Linked DNA regions of Tribolium castaneum. The protein of the gene in region 1 purifies or fractionates together with the protein of each later gene. This does not show direct contact. Links are inferred from orthologs where the notes say so. Each region holds a gene or a part of one and is shown on either strand. Other genes may lie near its edges.

Region 1 (3,119 bases):
CAACTTGGATGAATTTATCGAATATAATTTCCATTTCTACCGGCACTGTGATGAATAAACGATACGTACTACTCAAAAAAAGGAAACTAAGAACAAGAAATGCATGACATTTATTTATTTACGTGTTTTTTTTTAAATATTATATTTTTTTAATTGTTTTATCAAAGTGTTCGATGTTACTACAGCATCACCTAGTTGTAGAAGTACCTGTATCTGAAAGATTTGAACACTTTTCTAGTTAGTGTAAAATGAAAAAGCACCAAAAAAATATTGTAGCGTTTTTAGATTATGACTCATATAATGTACTTAATTTTCTCGTCCGTCCAATAAATTGTATAATGTGTAGATTAGACTTTTATCGTATTGTAAAATATTTTTCTTGTTTGACAAATTTTTATTATTTTATAGAATTAAAAATATAAATGAACAAATACTAGTTTTAGCGTAAATATCATGTATTATTGCAATATTGTTTTATTTTTTTGTGATTGTGTAAAATAAATTGTTTTTTTGATTTAAAAAAACGCAGTTTTGTTACGTTTTAATGACTTTATTTTGCTTTTACATCATTTAAGGCGCTACTTGGTGAATCTCAAAATATACAACAATTCACGCTTTCAAATACAATTAATATAAAAAATAACAGAACCTACGCATTGAATCAAGAAAAATGCTCGGATTACAATTTTTTTTTGCAAATATTTGTGTTAAAAGTACATGAAAAAATTAAAGAAAACGAAACAATCTACTTGTTCTCCACTACCAACTGTCTGAGCTTTTCATAGTTGGCGCCGCTGAACTGCGTGATCGTTTGACTATTCTTCACGAAAACAAAAGTAGGCATTGACGAAATATTATATTCCATCGCGATATCTTCGCATTCGTCCACATCCACCTAAAACAAAACACGTTGACAAAACAAACGTCAAATAGATACACACACACAGCCGCCTACCTTGAAAATGTGCACGTTTTGGAATTCCTGAGCCAACTCTTCCAATTTCGGCGAAATCATTTTACATGGCCCGCACCAAGTAGCGAAGAAGTCGATGACGACAAGTTGGTCGCCGGCATCGGTGAGCTTCGACACAAGGTCGGCCTGTGAAACAAACACTCTGTATATTAAATTTTTTGTTCCGGCTAATCGAAGGTCACGATCTGTCAAAAATCTATTGCGTTTCCGGAAAATGTGCCACGCCCACATGGGCCTTACCTTATCGTTGATGTGGGTGACCATGGTAAGGTTACGATGGGCCTCCGCTGTTTGATGGGTCTTTTTCCGCCGAAATGGGCAACAGAAAGGAATGATTTGAAGATGGACGACAACACTCGTACAAATGACTTGACACAATGCCACTTTGTTATTTAAATGCGCATGCGTCACCTAAACTTTGCTACGATTGGTGGGTCCAAGGTCAAGGGTTGAGTGATACAGGTCGGACCATGTGAGCGATTTTATCAAAATTGTAAAAGAAGACCTTTTGTTGGACAGTTTCCACGCCTGGAAAAGTCCGGGGTGTCTTCCTGGCGCCACTTTTGCCGTGTTTTTCGCAATTCGGCGCAATTGTCACACCTGACCCAAGGCTTGGTCTTAGTCATGTCGTGACCAAAATTAAATTTTTACGTCAGTGTTCAATTCAATCATCAATTTTGAGAATTTGGTGAATAAATCACGAAAATAATTCGGTTAGAGTGATTTTTTATTTTTATGAAATCAATAAAAGCGGAATTTTATCAAGCAACCTTCGAATAAAGGCACACGTGACTTATTATCGGTCACGTGGTATTGTAATTATTACGAAAAAAAGTGAGAATTTCATTATTTACATTACTCATTATTTACTCAGCGGATTTGAGTTGAGATCAGACGCGCTTATCTCTTATCTATGTAGTGAAATAATTGTATTTTAATCTATGTTTAAGTATTTTACGATTTTTGCAATAAACACTTGTCCTTGGTGAAACTAAATCACAACAGGACTAAAGTTTTTTAGAAATCGTAATAAATTGTTTGCAATGGCCAAAAACTTGCTAATGTATATGCAATCATTTAGATTATTATTGAAAAAACTCCACTGATATGAGTAATGCATAACAATTTAATCTAGAACTGTTTGAAAAGCGCTTGAGTTAGTCGAGAAATCGTTTAAATTTGGGAAAGTATATGTAACCAACAATACACAAATTGTCACTGACGTCGTCCCCCACGTCACTCAGCTTCGGCGCCGTCATCCACGTTCATTTATCGATCGATGCGCACCGTTTTTGAAAAATGGCCGGTGCCGCCGATCTCGACAATCTCGAATATTACATCAAATTTCCCAGTCCAAATTTTAACTACAGCCAACCGAATGGCACCGGAGAAAGTGACTACGTTTTTGTCGTCAATGAAGAAAAAATCCCCGTTATCCTACTTTTCGGTTGGGCCGGATGTCAGGATAAGTATTTGGCCAAATATTCGCAAATTTACGAAGACCGAGGGTGAGAATAATTTTTTGATTTTTACAAAATTTCAATTTCCATTTTTTTTAACAGTTTGATAACTTTGAGATACACCGCTCCGGTGAAATGCCTCTTTTGGAAGCGACTGCAGATGATCACGATTGGAGAACGACTCGTTAAGCTTTTGGTTGATTTAAATTTTGAGAATCACCCGATTATTGTGCATTGTTTCTCAAATGGGGGCGCTTTTCTGTATCAGAATTTCACGCTGGCGCTTGAAAAGAGCCCCAAACCGATTCAGGTAAAACTTTCCATGTATAATGATTATTCATGAGATACAAAAATAAGCCTTGAAATGCTGTTAACTTTGCCATAAAATGTTTGTTTAAAGTATCGGACAAAATGTACTGTTTGTGCAGATAAAAGGAGTGATTTTCGACTCAGCGCCCGGAAAACGTCGCGTTCTGAGTCTGTTTCGGGCCATTTCGGCAATTTTGGGTGGAAGGCCCCTTTACAATATTCCCGCTTCAGTCCTCATGACTATGTTTTTGTCTATGATTTGGTTATACGAGGTGCGTTCGCACCAAAAACTTTAAATATTCCTTGATTTATTATTGTAGGTTGTTAGCAATTACATCAGTCCGAAAAAAACGTTCCAATCGAACCCGTTAGAAAAC
Region 2 (4,568 bases), on another chromosome or scaffold:
AACACTTTGACTTTTTCGTCGATTTGGGGGTCGGCACAAGCTGCCTCGAACACGTTGAGCATTTTTGGGGTAGCACCTGTGGCGATGAGGCACTTGTTGTATTCAATGGCGTAGCCGTCTTCGAGATAAGCAATTCGGTTGACGACGTCAAGACGGGTTACTTTGTAGCCTCGAGCTACGGCTACGCCCCCATTTTCGTTCTTTAGCAAGTCTTGACACTTGATATAAAAGTCTTCAGGCTCGTAGTAAAGGCTGGAAAAATCGTTATTGTTGTTTTGTTGTTGGCTGTGAGAAAAATTACTTTCGTTCCGATCCGTTCCACTGTTTAAAAATGAGCTTCTTGACTGATTCTTCGTCCTCATTGAACCACATTTCTTTCGATAACGGGGGACGCATGTAAGGGTGAAACGATTCATTTGTCACAACTAAAACCTGATCGATTGTTAGTATAGTGTTTGGGTGGTTAAAAAAATTACTTTTGCGGTTGGATCAGCTGATTTGATTGCACGGAAGGCTGCAAATGACGCAGTTCCGCCCCCGATCAGTAAATAAGGAACTTGATTTGGGATCTCTTTTGAATGTAGAGGGTCTTTAACAGGTGCTCTCTTAGTTTTCTTTTTCTTTGCCGCCACTATTTTTTTCGGTTTGCTTTTATCTTCAAAGTATCCAACGTAATACAGCTAAAGGTTCAGTGTGAAAATAAAATTATAGGCCATTTCGGGACGCTTTGCGTGTGCGTCATTTTTCAAATAACAACATTACAAGTCTTTTTAATACACATTTATTAATAAATTAACAAATAAATCATTATTAATAAAATATTGTACGAAGATTTTTAAAATGTAGAACAAGGAAGATGTATTTTATGTTTAGAAGTTCTTTTTTACGTCCAGAAATTTGGATTACTTATTAAACTTACTTAAACAAGAGTAGGTAAACAAACATTCCTTGTATTTTATGTTGTAGTTTTTGTTTGATATTTCTGAAAATAATGTTTTTGCCTATGAGATTCAATTATTTCAAAAACTTAGCAAAAACTACTAGTAAAAAAACATTATGATTAACAACCACATATATCCAAAAATGCACAAAACATAGGGTGTTTTACTTATTGACAGTCGAGTCCTTGAAAAATTAACCAATGAAATGTCTTTGACTTGACATCATACGTTAGTGTAGTGGGTGAAAAACTTGTTTTATAATTTTTACGGGTTGTTTTTTCGCGTGTTTAATGCACAAATAACTGATTTTTTATCGAAAATGTGCAGCTCGCAGCCAAACGGATTACGCAGCTTTTGAAAACGACACGATGGAGGTTAAGGTTAGTTATTTTTCTTATGTTAAGTCAGTTTAGTTCTGTTTCAAATGAATACAACATACAATTATGCTAACCCTGAAAATGCAATAAAGCCGAGTTTTATTTATCTGAGTAAATTGAGGACGACAAAAGGAAAAGATGCACAGGGTCGGACTACGGTTTGGGAGCCTTTAGGGCCTAAACTAATGTTAATACTAATACTTTTTTCTTTACCCTGATTTTACGTAATTCATAACTTGTAAGTGATGTTTTTAATAAAAAATTGGCTTTACTGTAGAGAAGATTTACTCTTCTCTTACTCTTACGATTATTTTGCGCCGCAAAACCATTTTTTCAAGAGATGTTGTCAAAACTAGCCAAATTATTTACACACCCATAGTTGTAAATTTTTTGTTTATTTAGTGCATATGAGGTACTTACCTTCTTATCCAATTTTAGCGGATTCTGGCTTACTTCAAAAAATTTCGCGAAAGAAAAAATTATGATTCGTAAGAAAAGTTGGACAGTGCTGTGATAAGGAATTATAAAAAAAACAGAAAACCAAAAAGAACGAAAAAAAAAAATAAAAAACGATACAGCTGAAGTATAATCTGTAAATTAACGTTCTAGACTTCCATTGACTGTTTCAATTTGCATAGTTTTGGATAATCTTTTGACTTGATGACGCCCACGCAAACCGTTTTAGGTTTTTGTTTAATAGAAAAATTCTACATACAGCTCCTAGCGTCGCTGCTGCTATTAGAAGCCCCACAAGGGCGGCATTTTTGTAATTATCCCACTTGCTTCCCTCGTCATGCGGGCACTCTGGCGGGGGCTCCTGTTTAGCTTGTGGACATTCGCTTTCCAGAGTGGGTTTGACTGGACAATCCTCTGGATTAATGTGGGGCAGTTTCTGCAAATTTTTCATTAAGTGTGTCTAACAAAATATTAAGGAGGTACCGATGGTGGAGGAGGTGGGGGCGGGGTGCAAGGATGGATATCAACAGGTTTACACTCTTTCAAGACCAGTTTAGGGCGTTTTTGGGTTTTTTTCTCTTCACAAGCTTTGTTTTTACCATCTTGTACCTTTTTGTTCCCATCGTCGCTACTTTTTGAATAGAACCGTGTCGGGTGGGTAAACTGGACCCGCTGAAGGGCTGGAAATATCGGAATTCAAGTCTGGACCCACCTGAAGGTGGCTCAGCTCACCTAGACATCGGGAGGCCTCAACTGGGGATCTCTGGAGGATTTTGATTGTTACGTTCTTTAGTTGCAAGAGATGGTTAATCCGGAACATTTCTTAAATGCGTCGAGGTGGAAGTTGGGAGAATTTAATTGAAAAGCATTGCTGAGCTGAATGATAAATGACAAAAGTAAAAATGACACTATTATGTGAAATTTTTCAGTCTTGATGAGAAATACTGTAACTGTGAGGTCCCGTAGTCGTTTTGCAACAATTATTAGAGGATTAGAACCAACACTAACACTTTTTGCCGAATTTTTGAGCTCACGTTTTTCATCAGGGAAAACATAACCTCAAACTCGTCCAAGAATTCACGAAACGGTAAATAAAAAGATTAAAAGGCACATGAGTCAGTTACACAGTTTTTGATGAACTGTGTGGAAAATGTTCAAGTTGATATGAATATTATGTTTTATTTGCCACAAAAAACTAATTTTTGATTGTATAACTGGTTGTCTACACAACACATCCGTATTGTTATTTTTTTTTAAAAATTATTTCGAACAATTTTAATTTTTTGGTTTGCTTTGGATTAGATATTACTGGTTGAAATAGATCGGTAATTTTTATGTATTCACCGTTTTTGCTCACTAAATTTTAAGTGTATTCATGTGAGGAAGAAAAAAACACATAAGCGATCCTATGTAAAAATTTATTCAGTACTTTTGCATAACTTTAATTAGCTCTACATAGAGCATATTTACAACATCCTTTGCAAAAATGAAGTCCAAGTGATCGAATAGGTCGTACGGTATGAAATAATCATTAGCTACATTTCCAAGATTCTTTACTACAGTTTGCGCATCCTGAAATATTTCCAACTTAAAGTGTAGTCAATAATGAATTCGAGAATTACCAAGTAGTTCACCAGCTGGTCATTTTTTCCATAATAAACAGCCACAGGTGCTGAAATTTTCGACAAATCATAGGCCGGGGGTGTATCGGTTCCATAAATTTCCTTGTTTTTTTCTTTACTGCCAAAATCAAACTGCGAAAATCCACCTAAATAATTTGGATTAGAATTCAATTAAAAATCCAAAAGGGCCTTTTACCATTTTTGATAAGTTGGCCATAGTGATAAAGCTGTTTCATGGCTGCGTTTGAGGGTGCATTTGTAAGAATTACAGGGAATTTTTCCTAGAAAATAAAATTGGAAAAATTAAATAACCACTGCTTATAACATACGAAGTCAAATTGCGGTTTATCTTGTCCACCTATGAGACCGATAACATCTTCGCAGATGTTGAGACTGTCGGGATTTGAGCAAAAATCAGACGCAAACTTTCGTAGTTGTGCCAGAAGCGGTATTTCAAATATTGTGTATTTCTTTACTACTTTCTCCAACTCAAAGATATATTTTGAAAGACCTACTAAAAGCGTAGTGGACTGATGCTCCATATACGAGGCAGGCCCCATAAGTGAGGCAATTTTGATTTTGCTGTTATATTCTGGCCTAGTGGACCCCAAGACCATGAAGGCAGTTGTACCTTGAGAGTGTCCTACATAATAAATACTATCGTCACCGTTTACATCCAAGATGTAATCTATAGCAGCGGGCAGGTCGTAATACCCGATTTCATGCCAACTGAAATCGAAAAACTTCTCAGCATCTGCTACTATATCCAGAGTTGTGTGATTTCGCGACCATCCGTTCCCTCTAGCATTACCAAGCCATACATCATATCCGATGTCGGCCAAAATATAGGCGAGACTATTGTTCGGACCCATATTTACGTAATCGGCCGAAGACGATATGAGACCATGCATGAGCAAAACGGCCGGTCTTTTGGTCGAATTATCGTTGTTTTTACCATGTGGTATTCTGTGGTATGTTAAGATGTAACCATCTTCGGTTGTTATGTAGTGGGTTTCACACACGTAGCCATGCTTTTCTATCATTTCAACCTTTCGTAAAGGAGTTAAGTCAAATTTTTTATTTGAAAGGAAAGCACTTACTGTGTTCAAACCCACGTCCGAGTCTGCGGACACTTCACGTCCATAGAGGAGACTTGAGAGGAGGAAAATGAT

What was found.
Region 2: the proteins of Trx2 (region 1) and AIF purify together in Homo sapiens (affinity purification with mass spectrometry; 3 studies listed by BioGRID and IntAct, with this or other methods). This does not show direct contact. The link is inferred for Tribolium castaneum from reciprocal best matches to the Homo sapiens genes TXN and AIFM1.

What each region holds. Positions count from the first base shown.
Region 1 is NC_087401.1:17,531,588-17,534,706, forward strand, and holds Trx2 (thioredoxin-2), read right to left. Parts: upstream 1,376-3,119; 5' UTR 1,238-1,375; coding exon 1,214-1,237; intron 1,100-1,213; coding exon 956-1,099; intron 896-955; coding exon 746-895; 3' UTR 530-745; downstream 1-529. Other genes in the region: myelin regulatory factor, read left to right, coding at 1-58; transmembrane protein 53, read left to right, coding at 2,273-2,481, 2,536-2,743, 2,862-3,014, 3,063-3,119. UniProt on the Homo sapiens protein: Participates in various redox reactions through the reversible oxidation of its active center dithiol to a disulfide and catalyzes dithiol-disulfide exchange reactions.
Region 2 is NC_087402.1:8,007,136-8,011,703, forward strand, and holds the start of AIF (apoptosis-inducing factor 1, mitochondrial), read right to left. Parts: upstream 2,977-4,568; 5' UTR 2,595-2,976; coding exon 2,507-2,594; intron 2,455-2,506; coding exon 2,258-2,454; intron 2,211-2,257; coding exon 2,034-2,210; intron 681-2,033; coding exon 477-680; intron 433-476; coding exon 302-432; intron 253-301; coding exon 1-252. Other genes in the region: lipase 1, read right to left, coding at 3,197-3,346, 3,397-3,542, 3,593-3,677, 3,726-4,445, 4,497-4,568. UniProt on the Homo sapiens protein: Functions both as NADH oxidoreductase and as regulator of apoptosis.